Linked DNA regions of Caenorhabditis elegans. The protein of the gene in region 2 purifies or fractionates together with the protein of the main gene of each other region. This does not show direct contact. Each region holds a gene or a part of one and is shown on either strand. Other genes may lie near its edges.

What was found. The genes of interacting proteins can lie anywhere in the genome.
Region 1: the proteins of cls-3 (region 2) and T09D3.3 fractionate together in Caenorhabditis elegans (co-fractionation; one large-scale study listed by BioGRID). This does not show direct contact.
Region 3: the proteins of cls-3 (region 2) and C35E7.11 fractionate together in Caenorhabditis elegans (co-fractionation; one large-scale study listed by BioGRID). This does not show direct contact.

The regions. Positions count from the first base shown.
Region 1 is NC_003283.11:5,345,965-5,351,553, forward strand, and holds T09D3.3 (EB domain-containing protein), read right to left. Parts: upstream 3,608-5,589; coding exon 3,527-3,607; intron 3,483-3,526; coding exon 3,350-3,482; intron 2,929-3,349; coding exon 2,357-2,928; intron 2,312-2,356; coding exon 2,209-2,311; intron 2,166-2,208; coding exon 1,994-2,165; intron 1,630-1,993; coding exon 1,503-1,629; intron 1,453-1,502; coding exon 1,399-1,452; intron 1,354-1,398; coding exon 1,260-1,353; intron 1,215-1,259; coding exon 661-1,214; intron 617-660; coding exon 530-616; downstream 1-529.
Region 2 is NC_003281.10:9,186,050-9,192,965, forward strand, and holds cls-3 (Protein CLASP-3), read right to left. Parts: upstream 5,061-6,916; 5' UTR 5,029-5,060; coding exon 4,942-5,028; intron 4,467-4,941; coding exon 4,083-4,466; intron 4,035-4,082; coding exon 3,906-4,034; intron 3,858-3,905; coding exon 3,581-3,857; intron 3,534-3,580; coding exon 3,017-3,533; intron 2,964-3,016; coding exon 2,885-2,963; intron 2,832-2,884; coding exon 2,598-2,831; intron 2,521-2,597; coding exon 2,234-2,520; intron 2,147-2,233; coding exon 1,933-2,146; intron 1,479-1,932; coding exon 915-1,478; intron 864-914; coding exon 744-863; intron 695-743; coding exon 635-694; 3' UTR 509-634; downstream 1-508. Other genes in the region: ZC84.7 (uncharacterized protein), read left to right, coding at 28-89, 168-260, 309-483, 6,389-6,492, 6,603-6,702. UniProt on the Caenorhabditis elegans protein: Microtubule plus-end tracking protein that promotes the stabilization of dynamic microtubules.
Region 3 is NC_003279.8:10,842,864-10,846,501, reverse strand, and holds C35E7.11 (Glutamic acid-rich protein-like), read right to left. Parts: upstream 1,731-3,638; 5' UTR 1,715-1,730; coding exon 1,645-1,714; intron 1,603-1,644; coding exon 1,525-1,602; intron 1,124-1,524; coding exon 882-1,123; 3' UTR 530-881; downstream 1-529. Other genes in the region: C35E7.2 (Reverse transcriptase domain-containing protein), read right to left, coding at 2,122-2,234, 2,280-2,339, 2,645-3,379.

The sequences.
Region 1 (5,589 bases), on a different chromosome or scaffold from region 2:
ATAACATTGTAAGGGTCGAAATAAGCGAAAGTGCTTTGGATCTCATCAAAAGCTCATATTTTTCAAAATTTTGGCAAACATCCAAAACTTGGCCGAAAATTATGAAAAATCTAAAACTTTGGAGTGTTTTATTATGAGATTCGGTCGTTTTGGTTTTCTCCCCACTGGCGCTACTCCACCTCTATCAGTTTAAACTCTGTTGATTTATATTTTTAAAATTCTGAAGGCTTTAAAAATGTTTATATAGCTGAAAAATGACATTTTTTGAATGACCAAACTGTAAACAAATAATTAATAATACTTTTTTTTAAAGTTTCTAAGATCAGATACAACAACAACAACAACAATTCTTTTGATTTTATCAGTGAAGAAACCAAAAAAATGGTGAAAAAAAATCCCGCACTCCATTTTCTAGAACATTAGAATGTGAAAATGTTCATGATAAAATCTCTCGGATTTTCAGAAATATTTTATTTGTACAAATACATAAATTCAGTCCAATAGTTCAATATCCAGCTATAAAATTTTCCTAAATTTTGCTAAATCTGTCCGTCATAAAATCGATGAAATTTGCTGCATGTGAAAAGTCATCCGTTATATCCTCTTTAAGCTTCACCTAAAAATTGTATGTAGGATAGATACATGAAGTGAATTTCAAACCTGCGCCAGCTCACTGAGAACATCCAAAAAGTTTTCAGACCGGATAACATGTCTCCCGCGAATATCACCAATAGAATTCCGCTTTTCAGTTGGCGAGGTTTTTATTCCACTCAATGGGTTATCAAATTCTTTTGAAGAGGGTGGTACATGGGGCGGAATTGTCCAAATTCCGTAGGCTGGTATCATTGGAACTTTGTTTGCTTTCATTAACATATCCGGATAGATAGGAGTTAGGTTAACCACAATTTTTGGGGTGGATGTTGTCGGTGGAAGTGTAGTTGTGGTGCTAGTACTAGTTGAAGTTGTATATGTTGTCGTAGTAGGTTCAGTTGTTGTAGATGTAACGGGTACTGGTGTAGTAGTTGTTGTAGTAGTTGTAGAACTAGATGTGGTTGGAACTAGTGTAGTTGCACTTGTTGTCGTAGATGTGGTCGTGGGGCATGGCACTGGAGTTGTTGTGAATATTGTAGTTTTTGGTTCTTTCGTTGACTTCACTCGATGTTTTGTCCAATAAGAAGGTCTAATAACTGGTGGTGATGTCACATTCTCAATGTCTGAAAACAATTGATTCGAGATGATGTCCCCTTGATATTCCCAACCGTATTTCCCCTTTCCAGCCCTCATTCTATTAGGCGTATACATTCTTCGATAGCTGATCTCATTATCTTGTTTCCCCTCCTCGCTAACGTTTGCCTAAAAATATTCAATTTTGGCACTACACTCTTTCCTCCATCTCACCTCTTCTTCAGATGACTTTGCCATCACGTTGGATTTCATTCTTGCAGCCAGATTCTGGAAGGAAAATACATGTTGTTTGGATTTTCCCAAACGGATATTCTCACCGGGTATCTCATGCAACAAGTAAATGCGGCACATTGCACGTAGCCAGCCAAACACTGACAATTGAAGCTATTGCATCGGACTTGCTGTGGAGGAATTATGAGGCAATCGACGTGGCAGGATGGCATACTGGAACATAAATTATTGATTAAATGAAAATATTCAATTAAATTTTTTTCGAATTTTATATTTAGACGTTTTGAAAATTCGAAAAAAATTTTATGGGATTGTACGAATTTAGGAGGTTGGCTGAGCTAAATGCCTTTATTTACCTGCCTGAGACCTGCCGACCTTTTTCCTTCAATTTGACATAAATTTACTTAAAAATTTACTAAATTTACTAAAGTACTAACTTTCTGATAGCAATCAATTTAATGAAAGTCAAATAACGAGATGAAAAAAGTTCTTAAATATGTGTTTTAGCAGAAGATCTGCAAGGCACGCATTTTGGCGCCTATATGGAAGAAATTTTCAGTTACATAAAAAATCATACCAATCTGGACGGCAACTTGGCTCCAAAATGTGGTTGTAGAACTGTGACTCATGCATATATTGAAGTCTAGCAACACATTGCTGACTACAATGAGGTTGGCAGGCCGGAGAGCATTGTGCCTGTGGTGCGGGATGTACAACTAAAACCAGGGGATGCGGTGGGCTTGGTGAGCCTGAAAAAAAAAATTTATTATTTTTTTACCCCTTCTACTGTACCTGGTAGCACGCTTGCTTGGATCGTAGTGGTAGGTGCTGCAAATGGTCTCCTCGGTTCACAGCATTCATTTCCACACCAGCCATCCATGCAGCTCATTGATGCCTAACGGTTTTAGATGTTTGAAGTTTTAATAAATATATATCAAACCTGAAAAAATCCACGGTGAGGTTCGATTGGAAATCTTGGCATTCCGTATAGATTCTTCTTCGATGCAATTTTCATCACTTCTTCTTTAGTCGGTTCAAGAACTACCGGTTGAGGAATTGGTAATGGAACTAATGTCGGGAAATTTGGATTAATGTGCATTTGAGGTGATATTTGTAAATTTGGAGGCGCTGTTGGAATATTAGGTTCTTGTAGAATTGGGTTAAGAAGTTGTGTTAATATTGAAGAGCCAAAGTTTTGAGACATATGTGGTGGGAGTAATGAAGAATTTGAAGTAAACATCGGAGATGACTGAGAAACTGGTACTTCAGTTTCCAAAAGTCTTGGAAAATTTGGAGATGGCTGGTAATGTTGTCGTACTGGAGATCGGAAGATTTGACGATTTTCAGTTGGAAAATGAGAAATCCGAGAAGGATATGGTGGAGTTGTCAGGATTGGAGTTTGTGTAGTTGAGTAGATGTCAATTGGTTGATAAGATGTTTCCGAATAAGTTACAGGTTTGATGATAAGAGGCGGCTGGATTCGGACTTGATGAAAAAATCGTTTTACTGGAGCTGAAATTCAAAATAGGTATAGTTTTTGAAACTGATGTGATAAATCAGAAAATTTTTTAAAAATAATCTCCTACAACTGCTAGGTATTTTCCAATATTTAGATTCTTGGCCAAGTTTTGTCAAAAAAATATTAGCTAGTTCAACAGGTGGCCAAACTTAGGCAAAGCTTAGGCAACAGGTAAGAAAGAGTTGAGCAATATTTTGGCAAGTTTAAAACCACACGAGAGAAGTTTGTTCAACATTTAAATTTGGGCAAAGCTTAAACTAGGTCTTGCCTAGTTTATAACTAAACTTCAAAAGCAAAAGTGTTGAGTTAAAAACACTATTCAATCTCTAAAAAGTTAAAAAAAGGCAAGCTACTAGATTTGACTACAAACTAGTGAGTTTTAAAATAGTTACAAAAGTTATCTGAAACCCTCACCTGTATTGTAGTTTCTTGGAGGACTTTGAACTTGAGTGACTTGAAAATTATTCAAATTTCCATTTCGATAATCTGATTTTCCTAGAGCCCAATTACTGTATTTTTCCGCAATATTTGAAACTCTATTTACTACCTGAAAATTTCCTGTGAACACAATAAAATTTTAAAAAAACGAACCGAATGATCTTGTTCAACTTTTTGTGCATTTATTGAAGCAGCAAAAAATATTACGAATTTAGTCGCACTGATAAAGCTCATAATTCACTGATTTGGAAAACGTTGAATATCAAAATGTGCCCGTTCAACTTTTGACACATTCATTTATTATTTGTTCAAATATCTTTTCGCCTCTCTCCAAATTATCTAATGAATGACAGAATATGCGTGCGTCTCCTTTAATGTTTGTATTTGGATTTGCGTAATCATTACGATTTATCTTATTACATGATCGAGGTAGAGATATTTGGAAAAGGTTGAATAATTATTGAATTTTGGGAATATGAAGGTGGAGTAGCACCTATGGATTTTTTGCCCTAAATGACAGAATCATTGTACCAAATCTAACCGTATCACCCTAATGTATAGCATTTTTCTAATTTTATTTTCAATTTTGCGATAAATAAAAAGACTGAATCAATTTAGAACTCTCGTGCAAATGAATAACCTAGGGGTTTTAAAATTATTGCATTTTCTGACTATGTTAATTTATTTATTAATTTGATCTTTTTTTGCGGAAAAAATTATAAAACCTTGTCAATTTATGTTTTTCAAATCAAAAATCAAAGATAACATAAACAAAAACCAATTAATATAAGGTAAAATGCAAAAATGCCAAAAACTAGAGAATTCATTAATGCCGGAATTCAACCTTTTTTCATGTTTGTTTTTGAAATTAAAAAAAAAATGTTTTAACTTCTAAACATAATGTTTGTTCAAATTAACCGAAACTTTGACATTTCCAAAAATTTCCAAAAATTTCAACTTTTATTATATATTGTCATATTTTGATTATTCGAAAAAATACCCTCTTGTGTAACTTTTCCTCCAATAATCTAAGTTTTCCAGATTCCAGTTTTTCAAAAACGCAACGGGACAAAAACATGACTAACTTCCGAGTATGATTGAAAAGTGATTCATAAAATCTTGAAAAAAAAAAGTTTTTTTAAACCTTTTTTAATCTTTGAAAAAAATCTAAATATATTCTCTTGATTTCATAGTCGACTAAATTCTAGTATGTGTTCGATGTTCCCAGTTTACACATTCTTGACCACAGCTAAAAGTGATCAAGCATTCTCACGATCACCACGTGCTGCTGCACAATCCGCTGACGAAAAAATTCCAAAAGAATTGCAAACATTGTCATTCTTTTCATTTTTGTTTCGGAATCAAGACACAGACTTTATTTTTAAGCAAAAATATCATTTACAAACTAATTAGCCTTTTCGAATTTTGCAAGTACAGCTGTAATCTTCTCAAAGCGTGTCGAGAGATTCTTTCTGACGATCAGAGCGTCTTCACGGAGAAAGTATTCGGATCGATACTGCTTGTCGGTTCCATCTGGAGGATTTGTGTAGATGATAGTGATACGGTCGTTTTGCTGAAAATTTTGAAAATTTTAATAAATGAAACATTGCGGCTACGTGTAATTGCTTCCAACTTTTTATCAATCGGGTAAGCTTGCATAGTCATACGTTTCACAACGATTTTAAAATAAATTTTGAAATTTAAAATTTAAAACATCAACTTCCTTCTTGATCGATAAAAAGTGGGAGATATTTCCACGTAGGCCCATATTGCCGGGTTTTGAATTTTCGGCAATTTCGACAATTTTCTTTTTTGAGTTTTGGGCAGTTTTAATTTGAAAAATTAAAATTTTTCAACGGAATACATTTCTACGCTCCGAAATGTATAGAAAGTTAAAGTTTTATACTACAATTCTCCTTTTTTGGCAAATCTTCTAATTGCCGAAAACTCAACCACCCTTGCGCTCATGCCTTTCCCCACTTACATCCTTTCCATCACACTTCACTGTGAAAAGAGCCGCTTCATTTGGATCCAGAACTCCTGTCGGAGTACTTGTTGCTTTTTTAAGCGCCGTGCTCACTCCAAACACAATACGTCTCCCGGAATTGTTCAGCAATTTGATGTGTCCAGATTGCTGAGTGATTTGCAGTTCTCTCGGAGACAAGTCGGTTGCCAATTGTCAGAAGAATGACCATTTCTGATACATCGTCAGAAGA
Region 2 (6,916 bases):
CATTTCAAATAATTTGATTGCTAGGAAATGTGCTTTCAATTACAAGAATATTTAACTCCTGGCGTTGTTCTTAAATTCCGACCATATCGGTAAGTCTGTCTAATATGGACGCCAGTTTTTTGCCCAAACTTGGCTCAAATCTTCGATCAAAAAAATTTTCGTTACAGAAATGTATTCATTGGAATATCCAGCGTTGCAATTTTTTTCGCAATCTTAATAATCGTCGAGAATATTATATTTCTGTCCATCGTCAGTAAACAGTACGTTTCACACTGTCTTCAAAATCATAAACCCCTCCTTATTTACAGAAGTATCCCACTTCTTCTCATCCCGTATATTCTCTCTTGGGTGCTGTTCTTTCTTGGATTTTGCTTTGCTCGATTCGCATATCTAATTCATTCGGGTCGTAAAAGCTGTGCATCAGTGATTCCTCTATCCTCTCCGATTGCTTGGGAGGATAGTCGACCTGTGTCACCTGTGCCGGTTAGTTGATTTTACACTTTATACTTTTGAAATTTTATTTAAATTTGAAAGCTGGAAACCAAACAAGTATTAAATATTGAAAACAAATGCGAGTTTTACCCGTTTTGATGCATCATGTCAATTTGAGATCTAGAAACAGTTAAATTTGAAATTATAGCCTTGGTAAACTTGTTGAGATCGCCCTGTTGACGTAGACTTGTATGAGATTGGTCTGGAAAGTGTGATGCTATCATGAAACGCAATCAAATATGAAGCCTTACCATTGCTTTTGGCAGCTTGGTGAAATGTGGTGTCATCCTTTGCTCGCCAACTCGATTTACCATGGCGACAAGACAATAGACGACGGTCTTCCTAACAGTTGATGACGTAGATTGATACGCCTGAAAATGTTATGAGTTCCAATTGAGTTTGCTAAAGTTTTCGTGACTCACTTTAATAATCGTTGGAGTGATATCATCTACAATATTATTCAACTCCTCTGCTGGAAGTTCCTCAAATAATCGTGTTACCATTTTAAGAACTAGAGAAGCTCTTTCATCGTCGATAGGTTCTTGATTTAGAATAACTTTTGCAATATTAATAATATTTGAAAGTGGTAGATGAGTTGCCAATGTTCTCAAACAATCTTCCACAGCAAGAGCCGTTGTTGCGTCGTTCGTATTTACAGCTGCATCCAGAACTTTGCACACTGCCATTTCAGTCGAATCAAACAGTTTTGCAGCTTGCGCGGTGCACATCTTCCCGAGAATTCGTAGGCACATTTTCTTATTATTTTCTGATCGACTTTTTGAAAGAATTTCGAATAAGTTGAGAAGAAGTTTTGCATAACACTGCTCCCACACACCGAAACCTCCATCGCAGATCATCATGTAAATAGAGCTTATTGCACTTTCTTGCTCATCCGCGTTTTCAGAGCTTCTCATCTTTTGTAGGAGGTCTTGAACGTTCTGGATTTTTTCCAGTGTATCAGGTGGGAGTGTGACAGTGGAGTTTAGCTGGAAATGTTGAATATTAAACTAGGAAAAAGAAAATTAAAAAAATGTTATTTCAATCATTTTAATTGAAATTTAGTGACGTAACATATGCAAATATTTGTTTTATCTCAAAATAATTGTTATTTTAGTTAGAACATTTGGACAAATGTTCAAAAATTTCCTAAAGGTTGAAAATTGCCGAAATAAAATCCAACAAGTCTTCAAAATGTTTTAATGGAAACTTTAAACTTTCCGACAACTTTTTCAGTGTTTTTTCAGACTGAAATAAAAATTATTTACAGATAAATCAAATATTTTACTATATTCTCTCTTTAAATTTTAGTAAAAAATTTTGCTATTTAATACGAAATAAAATGTTTTTAATGTTTTTTTTTCTATTTACTCAACGAAACTGGAAAATTAAATTCTAAAAATTGAATAAATCTATAATTATTGAGAGAATAAAAACACTCACATTAACTTTCTCCATGAGCCTTGACGTTGATTGCTCTTCTAGCCTACTCAATGCCAGATTGTTAGAGATATTGAGCGAGCCGAGATTGACGCCAGTTCCGCCTTTTCGTGCTCCAAACTCGGGTAGACCGAATGATGTTGACTCTTTTTGGAAAGAAGTGTTGCTTGTTTCACGAGAAGCCGTTGCTCCAGAGTTGGTTGCGATGTTGTTGCTACTGCAAAAAAGTGATGAGCCATGTCTATGGGGAGTTTGAAGTCATTTCTCATTTCTCATAACGAATGCATGACCATACTGAACAAACCTTATTCCATTTTCGAGTCCATTTCTCTGAAGTGTTTGGTGTATCCAGTTCTTCTGCTCACTGTCAAGATCGCTAATTAGTGCAGAGAAATCAGCGACATTAACACAAAACATGGAGCAAATCGCTTTCTCAACATGTGGTGTTAGTAGAATTGACAGTCTAGGATCAGAGGCCCATGTGAGCATTTTTCGGATTGCGGTCTTCAATTCTTTAGCATTAATGGATGCTCCAGGTTCCGTATACTCATCTAGCAGACTTGTCAAATACTCCAGCAGTACAACACGAGCCTGAAATTTTTTTTGAAAATTATTTAACAATTCTTAAAAATGATGTATTTTTAAAAATCTAATGGGAAAATACCAACCTTTGGAACCATCAAATGTATCGGATCGCACATTAGCTCGCAGACTGTGACAAGTTGGTGATGAGCATTGAAGCATTCAAGGATGACGTTCAAAGTATGACCAATTTGTTTTTTAGTGTTGGGCAGAGTTTCAGCGGCTTTCCGAGCAAACAATTTTGCAAGAGCTAATCGAAGCCATTCGGATAATCGACTACTATGGGTTCGAACGAATATAGAGTAGATCTCAAGAACCATCTAAATTTGAGTTATTTTTTAAATAATCAAAGCACTCTTCTGAATCAGCTTACGGTATTTGAAGCATCCGAAAGCAACCGATTTAGACAATTTCCAATGTTTTTGATCTCAATTGGGTTTAGACTAGTGTCACTGAAATTTTAAATTTTTTGAGGTCAAAACATTTTGAACTTTAAAAAACTCACGCTACAATAGGCAACAGTTTCTTGATTCCTTCCTTTTTCTCCGAAACTGAAGAAGAGCAACATTCTTTCAAAACTTGGGAAACCTTGTCGTGTGCTTCTATTGTCGGTGTTTTCAAGGGAGATCTTATTCGAATCGGTAGTAAAAACTCATCATCGTCGGTAGTATCCGGCATTCCAAGTTTTGCAAAGAAAGACCCGTTTCCATATTTGACTCTAGCTTTCTGTGTTTCTGGTGGTAATGGAGAATTCCTTCTGGTTGGAGATGTGTCACGAGAGTCGGTGGAAGTAATTGAAGATGTTCTTGTTCTAGATCCGGGCCGGTTTGGATATGGAATTTTGGCGGAAAGCAAGAGAGTTTTGAAAAACATAGATATAAAATTAGAATACTTACATCCAGCTGGTGAAGTATCTTGCCTTGCCATTGTTTTTGTAGAAGTCGGACGAACCAGTCGACTAGGTCCAGCAAACTTTGTAGCTTTTGGATCAATTGCAGACGCACTTCTTTGCGCGAGAAATTCTGTTTCAAAGTAACTTTGAACATCCAGTTTGAAATCAAAAACTTACTCGCACTGATATTCATATGAGCTTTCGATCCAGCTGATAATTTCGAACGAATTGGTATTGAGCCCTTTTCACTATTCACACTTGCCCATGAAGACGCTGCATCTCCCCCTCTAAGCATTTTCTGTTTGGAATGATCGAGTTCTAGATACAAAGCATCAGCTTCTTCGGAATGCATTTCGTCAAGTTTTGCAAATGCTCTTCTACCAGCTGCTCTTGTCTCCGAGTCAGCATCATTGATTGCTGATTTTATGAGCTCGCAGATTTGACGCATTATTTGCTGAAAAAATACAATATTTCAATTAGTTATTATCAATTAGTAAACTACCTTTTTGATTCTATCACTCCATTTACTGATAACAATTTCTAGAAGAGCAGCCAGCTGTCTTCTTTGAGATTTGTCCTTGGATGTTGAGAACGAAGAGAGAATTGTGAACACTTGACGGGTTTGTACATACTGAAATTTTAGGGAAATCTTATAAGTTTGTGGATTCAAAAAACGTACTTCTACAATAAATTCTGTCAATGTGCTCGCTGAAGTGGCCATAATCTTCGTGCTAACAGCAACTTGTGACATTGCTGGAACGAGAATATCCTCTCCAATTGAATGAGTCTCGATTCCATATTTACTAACAATGAAACTGCATGTTATTGCGGCTTCTCGTAAAACTTGTGATCGAAGATCCTTCACTGCCAACTCGAAACAACCAAGAAGTTGAACAAGATGAGCAATCATTGTTGGTCGATCGACAACTTTCTCCCCATGAATCACTAGACTTCGGACAGTTTTTAATTGAGTTTGTCGTTTATTCCAGTCTTCGGAACTATTTGATAAAATAATTCGAACTGCATCGAATTTATTACGAAGGTCCACGGCAGAAGTGATGGGCTTAAAAGATTTTTATCTAGTGTTGTATTGATTGGAACATATTTGCAATCGCCAAAAAGGGAAATGTTTGAAACTACTTATATGGTGCGAAAATGACAAAATATCATAGAAACCGTTTAAAAATTACTTGAAATTTGTTATTTTACAGTCAAAAAATGGTACTTACTTTAATTTTCACCTATCATAAATTTGGATGTCGATCGAAAAAATAAATTTTAACTACGAGTTTGACATTTTTTTTCTTTTAATTGGGTTTGAGTTTGACTTAAATATTTCTATTTGAACATTAAATGGGTTCTAATCAGCAGCAGTGCTCGAAATTACCCAAAAAGTCCATACTTTTCGTAAATTGGCATTTTACCAAATTTTTGAAATTCTGAATTTTTTCAAATATTTTGAAAAATGTTCAAAAATTTTTGGAGTGTTTTTTATATTTGGGCATGTTGAACTATTATAAGTACCTATTAATACTCACCACTTTTGGGACATCTTCGAAAATCTTTGTGAAATCCGCTTTGCTAACCGAGTAAACTCCGCTTTTTGGTTGCATTCGGCTAGTCATCCCATAAAAAATGTAAAATGGTTTGAGAAAATCTGAAAAAAAGATTAAAGCTGTTAAAAACCAGAAACTTTTCTGACGTCGAAATTCAAAATTAGCGGACAATGTTCGATAATTCGAGAGGACTCCATGGCTGAGAGGTGTCGTTTTTCCCGGCCACAAATTTTGGCGGGAAATTCAAATTTGAATAACGGAGAATAGATGGAAAAGATAAACTAGGAAAATACAAAGGGCAAAAAAGTCGACGCACAAAAAGTTGTAGAAAGTGGTTAGTGGTGTGAGTGCGGGGAGACAACACCCAGAGCAGCTGTGTCCGAATGGGGCAAAAACGAAGAAGAAGAGATGCAAGAGATACCATAGAGAGGACATCGTTGGATGGACGGCAGACGCGTCATGTCATTCCGCTCCAATTTAACACATGTTGGTTTTGAAGGCAGATGTGAGTGTGCGCACAGGAGGAGAGACTATGCCAAAAAATGTTTCAATTCTCATGAAACAACCAGTCTAAATGTGAAGCGATTTGAAATATTACGAGAAATTTGATATCTCGATGGAGTGGTCTATTATAACGAAAAAAACCACAAATTATACGTCGCTTTTCCGTTTTTTTCTTTTAGTGAGCAGGCATTTATGCATGTGAAATAAGTATAAACATGCTCTCAAAAAGACGGGAAAAATAAGAAGAAGAAAATGGAGAAAAAAGAAAAGGCGCCGGCGTCTTCTTTCTCCCATCTTCTTCGGTCCTTCCATTTCTGTTGTCTTGCTCCGCGAGCAGCCAATTGATTGTAGTTTCGCGCCCAAAAGGGTAAATGGAATTTCAAATTGGAAATGGAGAAAGAGCATCTAGAATTGAAGAATTGAACAACAATTGAAGCTAAAGACTTGCAGAGAGAAATAACTACTGCAAAAAAGTCTAGTGAGCAAATAAAAGGACAAAAGAAGAGTGTTTGGATAACTAACAGAATATGACTCTTTAAATATATGCTATTTTCGTGTATTTACAGGAATCGATAGGTGCGCCTAAAAGGGTCGATGCACTGAAATTACAAAAATATTATAGCTACATATTTCTACGTTCATAAAACGTTCCAGAAAACACATTGAATATACAGTTTTTGTTCACAACAGTCAACTTGAAAGAAAATATAAAATAAAGAAGAAACAATAAATTAAAATCTCAGCCAGTCATCGCCTTCCGCTGTCCGTAAAGAAAGAACAAAAGAAAATAGAATAAAGTGAGGGAAAATCGAAAATTTATGGAAATTATGGGAATTGAAATGACATGTTGGTTTAGATTATATTGAATAGGCTAATGCATTTTGTATGAATAGGGTCAATTATAGTAATTTCCACATTTTTCCAGCCTTCTCCGATTGTTGATGTTACAATGGTAATTCCACCAATGATTTATCGAAATTCACTTACTGTACCAACAAGCCCGTTCTTTATCACTGATAATGGAATCAGGTATGTTCTTTTAATGTGTTTTTATATATCTCAAACTCAATCCCTAAATCCACCTAACTTGAAAAAGTTTCAAATATTTTTGAAACATATACTCATTTAGCAAATTTCAGCACGTATCGTGACGAGCCACCATCATACAATGAAATTGTGGAGCGTGGTGTATCTCCGATTCCAGCACAACCAGCCAAAGTTGCACTTCCAGACGTATAAAATCCTGTTAACTCGCATATATTTTATTCTGAATCTCTCTCTCACCGAATAATTTAAATTTTAACATTTTGTATCAAATTTGTATTCTTTTAAATATCTTGAGATTATTGTATCTTTTATGTGTCTTCTAAACTTCCTTCTGATAAATTACGATGCAACAATCTCCGAAAATTGAAAATTTTAACATAAAATATATTTCTCAATTGAATTTCAA
Region 3 (3,638 bases), on a different chromosome or scaffold from region 2:
CGGAGTAAAATAATTTAGCTGACATTGAGGGCAAAAAGTAATTCCTATTTACGTAAACAGAGATAAAGACTGATAAAGGAAAAATAAAAGAATAAAACATGAGAAAGGGGCCTTCGACCAAACAATAGAAACAATTGAAGACTGAATGACTACATTTTGTGTTTCCAGATTGTTGTGCGCTCTCGGACGCTGGAAAATATTCCAATAATTAGAGACACAATAGGAAATTGAGAGACATTGATGTCTAGAGTAAATATTGATTGGTTTTTTATGGGTGGAGTCTGGAGGGAGTGCATTAACGATGTAGATGGGAAGGAATGTATTTTGATCGATCGGAAAGTTTACGATTCTTTATTTTTGGTACATCTCTATCTCTTCACGATATTCTCCTTTTACAACAGTCTACCATTTGAGACATCGCCTCCTCTTACAGCACCTGTTATAGTGTGACAATATGTAAGAAAGTCCTCTTGTCAATTGACCTAATATTCTAGACATCTAATGATCTCAAGAACATATCGAATGTAGGTTAGCCAATATCTAGTTTATTTAAATTTTAACTCCAGAACAACCAAAAAAGCTATAGAAATCGACATTTGAAGTGTAAAAATGAGGGAAAAATGGTTTAGAATAAAAAAAGAACTGTTTGCGAGACGTTGAAAACTGTGAGCTATTTGAAAATAATAAACAAAAAGCGAGCAAACTGAGCTTTTTGCTTGAGCTTGAGCTAAAAAAAAAGGTCCAGAAAAAACAAACAAACATTTTTTGAGATTTTACGATTCATACGCTAATATGATGATAGATGAGATCTTGAGAATAAATGGAAAGATCTAGTGGTATTTGATTATAATTATAAAGAGAATCTTTAGACAATTTAAAATCTACTCCTCGTCATTTTCTTCCTCATCAGCCTCTTCTTCTTCTTCTTCCGGCTCATTTGGTTGCTCCTCACTCTCGGCAACTTGCTCATCTTGAGCTTCAACTTCAGTGGAACCCTTTTCCTCAACAACGGATCCTCCATTGGCTTTCTTGAGCTCTTCCTCGTCGTACGTGTCGTCTTCAATGAGCTGATGAACTTCTTCAAAGGATGGCTTCACCTTCTTTGGTGGTGGAACTTCGATAACTGAAATTTTATGCTGATATAAAAATATATGTTGTCTGTATTTCTTGATTTTTCATTGAAAATTAGACGATTATAATTATTTTATGAGATATTATAGTAAAAATATATCAACAAAAAATTTTGTCAGAATTTTCTAAAACTCGCCAAACATATTTTTTGAGTAATATTTCAATAAAATAAATTGAAAACTAATTCGAAAACATTGGCGACGTCTTGCAAATAACAGAAGAATGTCGTATATTTTAGTTCAACATAGAAAAATTTCGGTAAAAACTGAAATCACTCAAAAACTAAACGGATGAACTTTTTGAAAATTTACCAAAAATAATTTCCAGTTTGTTCTAATAAATTTAAATGCATTCCGAGTTTGTCTGCAATTTAAATATTCAAACTATACTAACCATCATCGTCGCCTTCTTTCCCCTCAGCCTCTTCAGCGACCCGCTTTCTAGTCTCCATCGACTTTTCGGAGGAACCTTCTGAAAAAAAAATTATCAGGGTTTCAGATAAATTTTCCTCACCCTCACTGAATGGGCACTCGACTTCCGGAGATCTTGGCGGAGAATCTGGAACTTCGACGATCTCGGACATGGCTGGTTTGCAGTTGCTAAAAATGCTTGAAAATTTAGTTTAAAAAAAAATAAATTAAAAGTGAAAAGTAAAAAGCAGAGATTATAAACTCTTTAAATAAGTTTAATTTAGTTTCCCGGGGTTATTTCCCAGTTGTATAACTTTTTATAGCAGGACGAAAAAGCAGGAAATTCAAGTGAAACTAGGATACTATGAAAGGAAAGGTAGCTGGAAACGTACAGTAAAAATGGGGTTTCTATGTGTAATTGAGGATATGGAATCGTTTTGTCACAGATTTCCATATGAAAACCAGAAAATTGGGGATGAGAACACAGGAAGAAGATAAGAAAAAACATGCACAATTGAAATCAAAAGATATAGGAATTTCAATTTTTGAGAGTAGTTTGATTGAGTTTTGGGGTAAAAAACTATTGAACGCGGTTTTTGAGTGACTCGACAAGAACTTTCATTTCTCGATCCACGTCCTCATCATCATCATCAGCTTCTGAAAATTCGTCCACATCATTGCCGTTCTCGTCGCCTGAAACTTGAGAATTAAACTGAGATTTATCATTTCAATTCTCACTCTCTGATTCTTCGTCTGGTTCAAGGAAGTGCAGCTTTTTCGGCTTTTTGAAAGTAGTGTCTGGAAATATAGGGGCTTATACTTTTCTGGCGAGCTTATTTTCTTGGTAGCTAACGCGCTTCTAATCTTTTTTCGCCGTTATTTTTTGAGCGCTAAATGCCTTTTGATAGTTCCAAATTTGATTTCTGTCCTGTTTGAAGATCAAAAGCTTCAAGCTCAAAGCATCAAGGATCCCTTAGAGATCGTATAGTCGTCTGCACGTGATTATACTTATACAAATTTCTGCGACAGAAGGTTGAGAGTGTGCGAGAAAAAGCTTGCGGGGTGCTCTAGAAAGTTGAAAATGTCTGACAGAAACAACGTACCTTCCAAACCAGACAATTGTGTCCTTACATCGGAAACTTCTTCTCTAAGCTTATCAAACCGATCATTCGATTTTTTCAGCATTTCCTTTTTATCAGTTGAACTTGGAATTCGGGGTGAAGGTGGGATCACTCTGTTATACTTTTTAGGACCTTCTGTGAGACGTCTTTCTCTTCTTGGTGCGATTCCTCTTTGCGCGAGTATGAGCTCTGCGATGCTTTGCATTGAGTTGGCTGTCATTTGAGGAGCATTTGGAGCATGAGGTGCTTGCTGTGGAAAGGTTGAAGGCATCGGATGAATCGGGTACGGAAACATGCTTGCGGCACTGTTAGGCGGCTGTTGTAGTTGTGATGAGTGTAGACTGCAAACTGCATTTCCAATGCTTCGAATTTCATTGGCCATATGCTGCATTTGTCCATTTTGCATAGCTTGCTCATGCTGCAGACCTGATATTTGTCTAAGCAAGTCTGATATCGTGTGATTGAAATATTCCACTGGAACATAATGAGGTTGGGCAACACGGTGAGTCATTTGTGGGTGTGGTGGTGCGGTAAACTGTTCCTTTGGTTTTTCAAAATCGATTATCTGCTTGAACAAGTTGTCCTCCATATTACACAATTTTTGGAAAACTTTCAGCTCAATATCATCAAAATCCTCCTGTGCATCTTCATATTCGGAATTCTTTTTGTAAGTCGGGTGGTAATCCGGATGCATTTGATTGCGTAGAGTAGGTTTTCCTTAAAAATATTCATTGCGACTTTTGAAGCCAATTTCTTGCTCAAGATTTATCAGAAAATGTTCAGTTGGTTCAGAAATTGGCTACAAATATAAATATTTAGCAAATTAGTTGCATCGAAATAGTACTAAACGAATATGTTTGAAGCAGATGTTCAGATTTTTAGATTTGAAAATTAATTATTTTTACTCAAATTTTTAATAGTTCTACGGGGCTTCTATGGTAGACTGAAAAACAATTAGCTTAACCAAATTTTCTAC